Stegostoma tigrinum: one gene and its partner. The protein of the gene in region 1 interacts with the protein of each later gene in a pairwise test. Links are inferred from orthologs where the notes say so. Each region holds a gene or a part of one and is shown on either strand. Other genes may lie near its edges.

Region 1 (7,413 bases):
TCTCGTTTAAATTCATCATTAATCTCCTGCCCTTTGTCTAGTTCACCCTGCCAGTTGAATAACTGTCAGAACTCTGCATTACACTGGCATATGTGAAATTGGTTTTTCGGCTGGATAACCTGCTGACTTTGATTTGGATTCATGCCTTCAGCAGAAGAGAGAAGTAGGGAATAGGATACACACACACACACACACACACACACACACACACACATTGAAGTACACAAAATACTAAGGAGAAAAACAATAGTCAGGGACACGAACCAACTAGTGTAACATCACTATTTCATAATATTAATTTATTCTTACTTAAAGCATTCAATTTGAAAAGTTACTTTAATAGTCTCTGTGGCTATACACAAGATTAATTGATTTCATCCTCAGGGACAATTCAAATAAATCTACTCTGGGTTTTCTCACCCGTAATGACACCATGCCTGTGACAACAACCAATCAATATTCATTCCACCCATCTGCAGATTTCGCATGCTACCCATTTTAATTGCTTATCGTGTTATACTTAAACTATTATATACATGTTCTATTTTCACATCATAAATATGTTTGTCAAATGCCTTTTTAAAATTGTGATTTAAGTTGCCTTCTTCATCTTTTTGTGGTCAACTGCATAAATTTAGATGTCGAAATAAATAGGCCTTAAAAATAGGCTTCTTTGTACACAGAAATCCAAAACTATACTGTAAATAGTAAATGAGTTTCAAAGGAGAACTGGATTCTGCAGGAGTGCTAAGAAGGATTTAACAGTCAGGCAGTAGGCATGGCTAAAGTATAATTTAAGAACTTCACATTTGTCTTAACCAAGAAAGAATCGTGGAGTCATAGAATCTCTACTGTGTGGAAGCAGACCATTTGGCTCATCAAGTCCACACCAATGCTCTGAACAGTATCCATTCTGTCCCTGTAGCTCTGTTTTTCCAATGGCCAATCTACCTAACCTGTACATCTTTGGAGGAAACAGGAGAGAATGGAGAAAACCCATGCAAACATGGGGAGAATGCACAAACTCCACACAGACAGTTACCCAAGGATGGAATCGAGCCAGGGTTTCTGGCACTGTGAGGCAGCAGTGCTAATCACTGAACCACTGTGCCACCCCATGCACCCCAGAAGGTGCTGGTGAAGCCATGATTGAGGAGACAGTCGTTGGAAGCTTGAGAGACTAAAATTTTATAAGGAGAGGATATTAGATTGCCTGTCTGGATGAGGGAAGTAAGGAAATTGGACAGGCACTGACCATGTCTTTGAATCCTCATTAGACACAGAGGTGGTGTCAGCACTGAACTGGAGAATTTCAAATGTTACACTCTTCTTCAAAAAAAGACACAAGGATAAACCCAGTAATTGTATAATCAGTTTATTTAACCTTGGTTTTGTAAAAGCTTTGAGAAACAATAATTTGGGACAACATTAACAATCACTTGGATAGACACAAGACAAAGATCTTCAGCAATATGTTTGTTCAATAGTATTCAAGTTAATAGAATCATACAATACAAAAGAGGGCCTATGGTCTATCAAGTCTGTACCGCCAAAGCTACACTGAATCTAACTAGCCCCACTTTTCAGCACCAGGCCCACGCCTTGAATGTTTTAACATATCTTGATTAATTCAGGAAAACCAGCATAGACTTATAGAGGGAATACCATATTTAAGTTTTTTTGGTGAGATAGCACAGAGAGCAATGAGAACAATGAAATCACTGTAGTGTGCTTGGACTTCCAAAGGGCATCTGGTTCCACATATCAAACCTTTTAGCAAAGCTAGAGGTAAGGAGACAAATGTGACAGTAATATCTTGGATATAAAATTGGCTGAGGTACAGGTAACAGAGTACTTGTGGATGATTCTTTCTTTTGGAATGGAGGAAACATTTTAGTTACGTTTGCCAGAGATTGTTATCAGTTCTGTTGCTCTTTTGATGCATGTTGCTGGCACGGCTGCTGTGCATAGGACACCACCTCAAAATCTGCAGATGTTACAAACGATGTAATTATTGTGTTATGTGAGAATAGTGGTAAAATTCAGGAGATCATAGACAGACTTATGGGAGTAACAGAAACAGAATGAGATTTGATACAGAGAAGTATGAAATGCTTTGATTTCGAAGGATGGGGAAAGACTTCATAAAATAAAGCATACCATTCTATAGGATGTGCAGGCCACAGAGGGGCATGGGGATGTATGTTCAGAGACCATTAAAGCTGACAATAGCAGGTTGAAAAAATGGTTAATAAAGCATACAATATTCTAGGATTTATAAATGAGGACAAGAAGTATAAAAACACAGCTGTTGTGATAAAACTACATGAAACATTGGTTTGACCTTTAACGGAGTATTGTGTCCAGTCTTGGACAGCACACTTTAAAAAATTTGTGGTGGTATTATAAAAGATGCACAGAAGATTTTTAAGAATAGATCAGGTACAAGGGACTTAAATTACATAGATAATTGTAGAAGCTGAGGTTGTCATCTTTGGAGATGAGGAGATGTTCAAATGTATGAGGTATCTAGACAGAGTAAACAGTGAGGAACTGTTCACATTAGCAGAAAGTCAACAATCAGAAGCAACAACTTGATGATTGGCAGAGAACCATAACAGGCACAAAAAGAAATCTTTTTTCAAAAGTGAGTGACTGGGATCATGAATGCCCTGAAATGGCCTCCTTCTGTGCTCTAACAATTCTATGAGTAGTTCATAGTACAGTACTTGAATATTGCTGAAAAGAGACATGTATTGTCAAAGCCTTTGTCTTCAGGATAAACACAAGAATGCCAAATTTCAAATGAACTCCAGAATTTATGCCGTTGGAGAAGTGGGTGCTGATTGGTTGACAAGTTGTCTTTGATGTTAACATGCAGAAAACAAAATGGATAGGTCCCCATTCTCTTTGGGAATTCAGAAAAGGTACAAGACTTACATTGTGATTGTTTCAAATTTGATATTCTTGAGTTTTCCTCAAGAGTATAAGAAAAACAAGCCTCTCTTTTCAGCAGTATTCCTATCTGTACCTCACTGTGACTGAACGTAAAAGTTCCTCTGGTACTATTTAATGAGGAGTGATCAATTATTAAACTTTAATCAACAAGTCTCTTAAAATAGCTTAATAGCAATTGATCTCGTTGCTGTTGGTGGGGCCTGTTTTCAAAGTCAGGACTGCATTTTGCCACAGCACAAGCGACTGCGCTTAAAATATCCTCTGGTTCTATACTCTCCCATTAGAACAAAATCTCTCCAGTCAAGTCCCCTAAGAATACTGATATGTTTCAATAACATTGCTTTTCATTCTTCTAAACTCCAATGAATTCAATCCTAGCTACTCAATCTGATCTCATAAGAAAATCTGTCCATACCTGGGATCAACTTGGTGAATGTTCTCTACACTGCCTCCAATGCCACGTATATCCCTCCTTAGATAAAGAGGCCAAAACTGTTTACAGTATTCCAACTATGGTCTGACGAATGCCTTGTATAGGTTAGCAAGACTTCTCTATTTTTATACGACATTACATTTCAAATAAAGGCCAGCATTTCCTTCATATCCTGTCTTTAAAAACTTCTGAAAATCTGTTAAGTATATTTAAGTACATTGGTAAATAGATATTTACCAAGTGGTAGAGAGGCGGAACACATCCCTTGATTCCCATCTGATAGGTAATATGTATGTGTTGTGGCTTTTTGTGTGTCTCCAATTTAGATCACTCCACCCCAGCTCAGAGACAGTGACTTAATTTGCCTGGGTTCCCGGCTCTGAAATTCCTTGCTACAACCTCTCATCGCAAAGCTTCTCAACCAACACCTCACCTCCCCCATTTACAGAATTCACGGAATTGTAAGAGCTCATTCAGCTCATCGTGACTGTGCCAGCTCTCTGAATGAGTAATGCACCTACTGTCATTCCTCCACCTTCTCCCCGTGAAACTATTATCTGAAAAGGAAAATTATCATCCAATTGTCACTGGCCAAGGTGTTGGTCCAGCTACCCCAGACGCGGCCTTATCAGGCCCAAAGACCAAAATTTGGGACATCATACTCCTGTAAGCTCTCTGTGAGCCACATTAATGCAAGCTATTGTTACTATATGCTGTACAGTATTACATGCCTTTGTAGTGCAGATGTGCTCCAGCGAAGAGGCAAGTTCCTCCCTCTCCATCCATACGAGTGGGAGGGTAAGGCAATGAGAAAAAAAATCCTACGGAGCTGCAACCTACCTTGAATGTGGTCCCACAAGCCCCACCCACACCTACTCACACATCTCCCGATTCCGATTGGGTAGCGAGCGTGTCAATCGTCATCGGCAGACACTTCCGGTAGGCGGCAGGTTTGGTTGGCGACACGAAGGGGGCGGGGTTTCCTTTAGTCCCGCCCCCGCTTCAGCCCGCGGACATGGCTGTTCCTCTCAGTCAGACGGTGGTGCGTCGAAGGGGCTTTGGTGATGGCGGTTAAAAAAAGATGTAAATTTCTATCGGCGTTTACTTAAATCCGCTGGATTTGTAAATTCATGAGGGAAACTGTTGTGCATTTGAGCCGCCGAGGTAATTTTCCTGCTGGAAATCGAAAGGCGGTGTCGCCATGAAAATTTTCCCGAAAGTCTTAATTTCATCTTGTAATTGGGATGGAAGATTGAAATGGATGGGCGAGTACGTTTTTTTAAGTCACTGGTAATGTTTAATTCAGGGTTTTCTCTTTTGATTCTCGTTTCTGTAGGAGCTTTACTAGCTGAATACAGCAAGATCCCACTTTTAGCCCACCACCACCTCCCTTTTATTTTGCAGATGAAGCGGTGCAAGTCTGACGAACTGCCCCTGGATGAGGAGCAGGGGTCGAAGCTGGGAGTTGGTGCTGATACAGCGCTCAAGCAGCAGGGTGATGCTACGCCAGCAGATGCTGCCTGTCCATCCCGCAACAACAGAGCTCAAGACTTGAAGGTACAGCGAATAAATAAGCTCTTCCTTCTTTACTCATAATAATAACATAGGCTGGTGAAAATCCTACCTCTTCTTTTGGGCTTTCTGCCTTTTGCCCTCGTGTAGCTCCAAATTTTTGCCTGCTGCATCTCCTAAAATGCACCTTTGGGTATCTTGCTGTCTGCCAAGGTGCTATGCAAAAGCAGGTTGCTTTCAAACTTTTAATTGTGCGGGATGCTTTGTCTTACCTGATGTTATTGCTCACTACCTTTGGCTTGTTTTATCCCAACTGACACAAAAGTGATTAAGGGGCTGATGACTAAGACAATTAGATTTAAGGTAAAGAAGAATCAAGGGTGTGTTTCGTCTGGTTTCAGATTTAACCCCGCCTCTGAGTAAGTCTTTGCTAACCTCATATTGTGCTGAGAGGTGGTTTGAAAACTACTGAATGACTCTTTATTAGTGATTTTTATGGTTTAAATAATTAGCTATGTTTTTAATCTGCATTTTTGCAATGGAAATATAAGGTTGAGTAATTGGGCACTGAGGAATTGTTATTCCTGATAATGTAAACAACTGGGATCACAGCTGAAAAGTCCTGCAAAAGATACAGTTTGTGCATATTTAAGTGTTCAAATTAAATTTCAATCATGCATGCTGCCCAAAGTGGTGTCCTTTGAGCCAAAGTGACTCTGGTGATCTGTGCTGTTTCTTCATTTCAGCTGGGCTATAATCTGTCTGGGTGGGGCAGATGGCCACCGCCTCTGTTCCAGCAGAGTGGAAAATCAACCCTATCTTCATAACTATCCAGTAAATCCTGTTGGATAGTGGGTGTGGGTAGATCAGTTCACTACAACATCGTCTTCAACCAATCCAGCACAGTCAAGAAGCCTGCAGAGACTTGCTGCTTTAGATTATACAAAAGGAATAATAATTCAAGTCAGCTATTTAATTAAGAATCATGGCACAAGAAATAGATTTCTGAAGATTAAAGTTGCAATTCAAATAAATCCAGTCACCTTCCGTAATTTTTGTTTAATAAAAGTATAACTGATTCACTTTTTAAGTGGAATGAGTGATTGACAAAGAACTTAGAACTCGAATCCAGTCTTTGAATTGTGAAAGTAAATTGGACATGTTTCAATTATACGATTTTTTGATAGTGTCTGAATCTCTCAAATCCATTATTGTTTTGTTATTCACCAATGGTCATTCACTGCAGTCATTATTGCCCCCCCTTGTGCTTTCATTGTGGTGAATTGTTATAAATAGAGCTTAGTTCAGCATATGACATTGAACAGAATGCTCTTATTTCAATGGGGAAGGAAGATTAATAACTTGGGCTATTCGTTTCTACTACATCACTATCATTTTGAACAATGTTTTTAGTTTACTATGAATAATAGATACCAGTGTTGTATTGCTGTGTTCCAAACCTCAGCTATACCTGGAAGGAAAATAAAACTAAACTCTTAGATGCCACTATAATAGTAATAATACTAATGAACTAATTCTAAGTAGTCATTCTAATTCCTTTCTCGTGCAAATTCATATTTGTCATGCATGGGGTAACTTTACTCAGAATAACAATTTGAAGTCTGTTTAGTGGCTTTTCCATTGTTTTTCTCGCATGTCATCTACCATAGTTTCTATGTGCTGTACATTTTATCTGTTTGTGACGATGGCTTAGAGAGCTGATTCAAGGCCCTGTTTTTTTGCATTCTGTCTGTCTTCCTCTTCCTCCTACATTTTGCTCCCACCCCGTGCTTCACTCATTTTCAATTTTAAATTAAAAGTTTTGTAGTGTGTGCATCAGCATTTCTTGCATCATTAATATGATCAATTTCTAGGCAGTGTTTCCTAAATTAATACAGTCCCAGATAGGTACCTTTAAATGTGATATTCCAGGACTCTCTTCCAAACAGCTGCTGGAATTATATCTACTGATTTATTTTTTGGCTACATGTCCATTCTTTGAGAAATACATGTTGCAATTACAAGTTGAATACATCCTTAAATACGTCAGGGTTCTGATCCTTCATCCTAACACCATGACACAAATAATCCTCTACTCGTCTGCCATTATGTAACAGTGGGATTGTTTCAATGCTTAGTGTTTTATTTGAGGACAATTCTTACTTTGAAGGAGGTTGAGTGTGGTTGACTTAAAAAGCCTTGTTCACACTGGTCATGTTCTATATCTGCTAATTTTGTTTAAAACAAAATGAAGCACAGGTGGCAATTTGATGCCAGTCATTTATGTTGAGGCCCAAGAATGACAATTCTTCCTCTCCTGAAATATTTCAGTCTGACACTCCCTTTTACACACAAGATCGGAGCAGAAGTGGATCATATGGCTTTTTGAGCCTTCTCTGGCATTCAGTGCAGTATTTCTAGGTTTCATCTCCACTTAGTTGAGACCTGTTAATGTAGATAAGAATTTCAGGATTTTCCTAAATAAATTATGCGCCAAGATTTTTCTGTCA
Region 2 (7,187 bases), on another chromosome or scaffold:
CTCTGACATTACCATCCTCCAACATCTCTGCACTGTTACTCAGCAGATTGAAACTGTTCTCTAATGATTCTATTCTTATCTAAACATAACCAGAGAATCATTCAAAATGGAAAACCGAAAGAACTGTGAATGCTGGAGTCAGAAGCAAGACCTGAAATTGCTGGAAAAATTCACCTGGTCTGGCATCTTTGTAGAGAAAGCAGAGTTAACTCTTGAGTCCAGTGACCCTTCTTCAGAAATGAAACAAGTTCTGAAGGAGGATCACTGGATCCCTGGAACTGAAATGTTAACTGCTTTCTCTTCACTGATGCTGCCAGGCTTGCCTTGTTTTTTCCCGCAATTTCTGGTTTTGCTTATCATTTGGAATGGCTTCTCTTCCTGCTCCAACAACATTATCTCTCATTTTTTCTAGGATCGATCTTTGACAATGCCTTCCCATTTCTCGTCTACATGCTGCTTTTTTCAACATCAGTTAAAGACAATGCAATTTTTTTTACATGTAGCCTGATAACACCCAGTTCTATTAGCACACTTCAATCGTTGCCTTATTATCAGACTCATTATTTATCATCCATTCATGAAAGAAGAGTTACAGAGTGACAGGACCTAATGCAAATTTAGACATACGTAGCAAAGAGACAGCAGTGATGTCATTGGACAAGTAATCCAGACTCTCCAAGTTAATCTTCTGGGAAACATGGGTTAAAATCCCACCATGGCAGTGGTGAAATTTGAATTCACAAAGGGCTGTTACGGTAGCACCGTCTCTGGTCCAACATAGCTGGCTTCTCGTCCCATCTGCCCCAGTCACATCATGAACATGTCCAAAAAGGTCAAGTAAATTAAGTACACCTCTCCACTTCTCTACCTCACTTGCCTTTTTTGAGACACTCCTCAAAGCCTCCCACTTTGATCAATTGTTCATTTAATTTCATGTAGCTCTGTGTCCTGTTTTTCTTAAAATAATGCACTGTCCCAACACCTTTAATGTTTCATTACATTAAAAAGGGCTCCAGATATTGTTTCAGGTATAGCTTTAAGAAAGCTGTTGATGAATAAACAACTATATATCCTTGTTTTTCCAGGATGATCCTGGTGTATGGAGCAATTTTAGTAGAAGTGAGCAAGATCCAATAATGTTTCATATGATTACATCTAGCCTGACTGTGAATGGCCAAACCAGTTGTGCACCACATGTACTAAATACCCCTTGAACTGAAGTAAAGCTGGGGCTAAATAACCAGAGAGAAAGGACATTATGGAGGTGAAAATAATCAATCAACAGGGGAGGCGACAGAGCAAGTGCACAGATCAAAAGATGAAGTAGCGCGGCTAACAGAAGGCCAATGAGCAGCTGAAAATAGCATTTTAATTGGAGTTTCTTCCAGGTTATACCTGGAAGGAACTGAGGGTAGGAGAGAGCTGAGAGCAATTAGAAAAAGCAGCAAACAGATGTTGTCATATATATTAAATGATGGAAACAGGTCACAAGACAACACAAAGGACTGCCTTTAAACAGAATTATAGGAAGAGGAGGAGAAAAAGCAGTGAGATTGTGATTGTTGGTGTTTTCAATGAGGCAAAGCTGAAGGATGTAAAGAATGAGCATCTTATAATTAGGGTAGTCTTGGACGGACAGTACAGAATGAGGATTTTAAAAATGAGCAACGATAAAGAAAATTCCTCACTTAGAATGTATTGAAATACTTGTGTGTTTCATGCAAAATGAACTAGTACTTCTGCAGATCACTGTAGTCATATTGACAGTCTTAGATGCATTTTCCAGATGTCCATGGCACATTTACCAAGTGATTTTACTGCCACCCTTTCAAAAGTTGGAGTTTTCAAAGTGAAATGAATCACTTCTGAAACAAGTTGACTAGTTTAGATTCATAATTTTATGTTTATTATTGGAAAATTCAACTAGCAATGAGATCAATCACAGTAAAACAGAAACTTGTGTGTTTGACATTGAATTTATTGTACCAAAGCTGGAAAAAGTGGTATTTACAGACTAAGACAAAAAGACAGCAACTTCATGGAATGGCCAGTTTCTTAAAACTGAAAGAAACATCCAACATTCATGCTGTGTATTTTCCAAGAATATCTCCATCTCTAAACAAGTAGTAATCCTGAGGAAGAAAATAAAAATCATCAAGGAGAAAGAAATCAATTTCTAAATACAGTCAAAAGAACTACTAAGACAATAGTACCAACCTTATCATCCAAGACAACTTTAGTCCCTCCATATTCTGGGAGTAGAACTGTTTCACCAACTTTTACATTAACGGGGTGAATATCACCATTCTGAAATGAAAATGCAAATGATCCACAAATTAATGTTTGTGAACAGTGCTCTAGCCAAAGTTTATAATGCACCGTACAGAAATTTGCACTTTTTGCTTATCTGTGAATTTGCAGCAAGTTACAAGTAGTAGTACTTGTAACTTGCTGCAAATTCACAGATAAGCTTTCTAATTATACCTAAGAGAAATTATACCTAAACTTAATAAAACAAAACAGCAGGCCACTTTGGAACACAGTATAAAAATATAATCTATTGGATCAGACTTTGTTAATGTAATAATCACAAGCATTTAGTTGATTAGGATTTTGTTTTCAGAAAACTACCTTTACTCGGCTGCCAGGTCCAACTGCTACAACTGTTGCTTGAAGTACTTTACCCTGGGATTTTTCTGGAAGCATGATGCCACCTTTTGTTACCTTCTCTGCTGCCACCCTTTCCACCAAAACACGGTCAAAAAGGGGCAGAAACTTTTTAAATGCCTGTCCTGCCTGTTAAAATAAAACGTTTCAGTTACCTATTAACCAACAGGTTACAGACCACATATTGAAAGCTTTACCACTTCTGAGATCTACAAATAAAAAGGTCAACCCAAAATGAATCTTGAGAGAAAAAGTGATAGCTGAATTTTTTTGTTATAAAGAACTAGATAACCTGTCCTTAGACTGTTAGCTTAGTTTTCACAGCTATTATGAATATATATAAAATAAACTCCTAAATGTAACATCATTAGAAATAAAAAACCATGATCCAAATGCTGAAAATGTAACATATTACCTTAAGAAGGGCGTAAAACAGCAGCTGAAGATATTAATATGGAAAAAAATTATTTCTCAACATAAATGTTGAGGACATTTAAAAATCAAGCTCATTTGACCTTGAAACTGTCCCCAACATCAAATCTAAAATCGTTAAATAAGTTGCACGTAACAGATCATCATTTTTATCCAAATGTCGGTGTGGTTACATAGTAACAAACGTAGTTCTTCAATCCATTACTTTTGTTACAAACTGATCTGTAGTAGCGAGACAGGTCACAAGCACATTTGTCCTTTCATTCATCAGGATTGTAACCAGTCGGTGGCCTGGCGAATCATTTCCCTGCTAGAGTAGGAATATTTCAAAAGGATCATATTCCCTGTTTGAACTGAGCTATCAAACACGATAAATTATTTTGTATCCAGCACATGCTCAACTGGATTTAAAACAACGCAACTTACCATTTCAACATCAGGAAGTCACAAAAATACTTATCAAGAACAATACGTAAATCGGTTTATTCTTCTCATTCAGTATATCACAAACAAAAACGTAAGCTTACCATGCCTGCTACCACTTCCAGAAAGCACTAGAAATAAGACACCTCCCTGCAGCAGCAATTATGGCAGTCTCTCCACGTGAGGAAATACCTTCGAACCCGAAGACATGACCTCGAACGTCAGAGGAATGTTACATTTCAGAGGCATTTTCTAAACTGAAATCCACACCTGAGCAAAACTTTGGCAGCATTTTACACTCATAAACACCCAAAGTAAATTTTGTTGCAATTTTAGAGAAGAAATCAAGAAATAAAATTATTGCGCAATAGAACTGTGCACTTTGACCCAACCTACGTTAAGCGTCTGGAAGTTTCTGGAACTCGAACCCCTGAAGCTGTATATGAACTGCTTCGCGTGCCTGCTTTTAGTTACAAGTTGGTACTAAATCCTATGAGTCTGGTGCTGGGATATCCATTGGTGGTAGTGAGTAGGTGGCTATTTGCTTGTCGAAATGTTTTGGCAGCTGTGTACCTGGAAGTGTTGGTGGTGTTAGAGTATCCAGAGTAAGGGGCGGGCGGAGACTTCTCCCCGCTGCAAACCCACGTGTTCTCCGAGTGAGACTTGGGCTCAGTCCTGGCGGTTGTGTAGTTTGCGTAGCTGTGGAATTTGGTTGAAGCTAGGGCTATTACTGTCTTGTTTACTACTTGTTTTTCTAAATAAACATTTTAGTAAGTGGTATTATGCAGAAATCGGTTTGGTTCGTATATTTTTGAAAAATTTTGCAAGCTACAGGCGTTTCCTTCTATGCCAATGGATTGAGACAATGAATGAAGACGAGGAATCAGAGTTCCAATGCTGGATGTTAGACAGACTAGCAGTTACATGTTATCTTTACAGACCTGAAGTCTCTCTTAGTCTAATTTGAGGCATATTAGTTACTTTTGTTTTGCATTCCTCGTTATTTTGCGGATTGTTGAAGTACTTTAATTTGACCTTGTGACGTGTGTCCCCTAGCGACGTGTGGGGAGGCCCATGTTACTGACACCATACGCTTTTAAAAAATTTAACGTGTAGTTAAAAGGTTGATCGGTATTATTTCTCTTCTCCACTGCAGATAATGCTCCGTTTGCCAACCGTTCTACGCCAGGTAAGGCCTGTAACTCGTCTACTTGCACCTCATCATGCACGAGCTTACGCCAAAGATGTAAAATTCGGATCCGAAGCTCGGGCTATGATGCTGAAAGGAGTTGATCTTCTCGCCGATGCAGTGGCTGTAACCATGGGACCAAAGGTGGGTCAGCGTCTACTGTGGGCTTAGAACTCAATATGCAGTTTGATATTATGGAAACATTCCAAAATATTTATGCTCCTCAAAACTAGAATAAGTACTCATTGCGTTAGATAATGCCGACATCAATAGAAATAGTAAAACTGTTGATGATGCAGGATTGGCTTTGGACATGTACTTTATCTTTTTTGACAAAAACAGTTAGGATTATTAATACTTAATAGTAGAATGGCCACAGTTATTTGAGAACCTTCAAAAATATTCATAGCCACAATTTGAAGCTGCAACATTGTCATAATCTTCAGTATACCACATTAGCATGAGCTGCCCATCACAAGACAGGTGGATAGTGATTTATATTTTGATAACAATAACTGAGGCTGCAACTGGGACTTGATGCAGTGAATTTTGAGTCTGCTGTTTGGTGACGTGCATGAAAAATTCATGTCTGAACCAAGCCACCAAGAACGATGTATGCCAAATTTAAAAATTTATCAAGAGATATTAAATTAATTGAGCAATGGACAAACTTTCCTCATTCTTTGAGAAAAAGGAACTCTCATTTTTTTGCAGATCTAACCCTAACTTTGTCATCAAGCCTGCCGATAAGGGTGGCGCTGTTGTCTGGTGTACTGACCTCTGCCTTGCAGAAACTGAGCACCAGCTCTCCAATACCACCACTTAACTTCCCCTGGACCATGACCCTACCATGGCGCATCAGGCCGTTGTATCCACTGTGGTTACGGATCTCATTTCATCTGGTGATCTCTCTTCTCTTCTCTTCTCCCCCCCCCCCCCCCAAATCAGCTCCAAAGCTAATAGTCCCCCAAACCCGCACAGCTGATTTCTACCTGCTGTCAGAAATCCACAAATGGGACTGTTCAGATAGACCCATTGTTTCAGCCTGCTCATGCCCCACGGAACTCATCTCTTCCTACCTTGACTCAGCTCCCCTTGTTAGTCACCTAACAGTCCCCATTAACAACTATTCGCCCTCCCAGCCTGATTGCTAGCAACTCCTTTGTCTGTCAACTGTCTTTCTCTCTCTTCGGGCTCTATCCTATCATTTACTCCTATCCACCCACCTCCCTATTTTCTGCATATAAACTGATGTTTTCTCAGCCATCATCAGTTCTGAGGAAGGGTCCTTGGACTCGGAACGTTAACTCTGTTTTCTCCTCCACAGATGCTGCTAGACCTGCTGAGCTTTTCCAGCAACTTTGTTTTTGTCTGTTTTTTTCTTTGCAGTTAGTTTTCCTTTAGAATAAAATCCAGAAAAATGGTGTGTATGTCCCATAGCATGGATCTTCTTATTAGAAGCTTGATTTGAGCTCTTAAACAAAAACTAAATTAGTGTCAGTTTTAATTACCCTTAAATGTTTATACATTCTTGAAAAAAGTCACTACCTCTGTTCAAGCCCCTGAGAAAAATGAATTGTGATGAATTGATTTTTATATTGTGGTCCCAGCACATCAAGTAATGCTTGCTATGTTAACTTGTAACACTGAAGAAACCACTAGTTTCTGCAAAGTCATTCTTTGGTTTTCTTTCAGCTAGAAACTAGAATTTCACTCTTAAAAATACAAATTCCTCATTCCACATCTTCTAAAAGGCAACTGCAATAGGAGTCTGAGATTGCATGTCACAGTACTGTTCTAATAAACTATTAGCATTCGTCACTCTACCTGCTTGAAAAATTCACTGTCAACGTTGCTCTCACTTGTTTCATTATTAACCATAATACAAAGTCTAATCAATTTCTTACAAAGGATTAACTTAATTGAGATAACAAGGTGTGGAGCTGGATGAACTCAGCAGTCCAGGCAGCTTCAGAGGAGCAGAAAGCTGATGTTTTGAGTCTGGACCCTTCTTCAGAAATTGGAGAGGGGAAGGGGGCTCTGAAATAAACAGAAAGAGGGGATGATGATAGAAAGTGGATAGTGGATCACTTAGGTGGGAGAGAAGATGGACAGGTCAAGGAGGCAGGGATGAGGGGGGTGCTGTTCTTAGGACGTGGTCGGGAGTGGGGAGATTTTGAAGCTGAAAGTCCACGTTGAGACCATTGAGTTGGAGGGTTTCAAGGTGGAATATAAGGTTGTTGTTTTTCCAGTTTCTGGGTGGCATCGTTGTGATGCAGGAGGAGGCCCAGGATAGGCGTGTCTTCCAGAGAGTGGGAGGGGGTATTGAAGTGGTTCGCGACTGGAAGGTGTTATTTGTTGCGAACCGATCGTAGGTGCTCCACACAAGTCTCCAAGCCTCTGCTTGGTCTCGCCTATGTAACGAGAGGCCACATCGAGAACCGTGAATCCAATAGACCACATTAGTGGATCTGCA

What was found. The genes of interacting proteins can lie anywhere in the genome.
Region 2: the proteins of tmcc2 (region 1) and hspd1 interact in a two-hybrid assay, tested with the Homo sapiens proteins (2 studies listed by BioGRID). The two-hybrid records come from large-scale screens. The link is inferred for Stegostoma tigrinum from reciprocal best matches to the Homo sapiens genes TMCC2 and HSPD1.

Annotation. Positions count from the first base shown.
Region 1 is NC_081374.1:8,083,529-8,090,941, reverse strand, and holds the start of tmcc2 (transmembrane and coiled-coil domains protein 2), read left to right. Parts: upstream 1-4,392; 5' UTR 4,393-4,648; coding exon 4,649-4,660; coding exon of another isoform or gene 4,661-4,681; intron 4,682-4,795; coding exon 4,796-4,948; intron 4,949-7,413.
Region 2 is NC_081360.1:31,740,285-31,747,471, forward strand, and holds the start of hspd1 (60 kDa heat shock protein, mitochondrial), read left to right. Parts: upstream 1-4,168; 5' UTR 4,169-4,292; intron 4,293-4,678; 5' UTR 4,679-4,681; coding exon 4,682-4,855; intron 4,856-7,187. Other genes in the region: hspe1 (10 kDa heat shock protein, mitochondrial), read right to left, coding at 2,082-2,132, 2,218-2,307, 2,632-2,796, 3,627-3,629. UniProt on the Homo sapiens protein: Chaperonin implicated in mitochondrial protein import and macromolecular assembly. Together with Hsp10, facilitates the correct folding of imported proteins.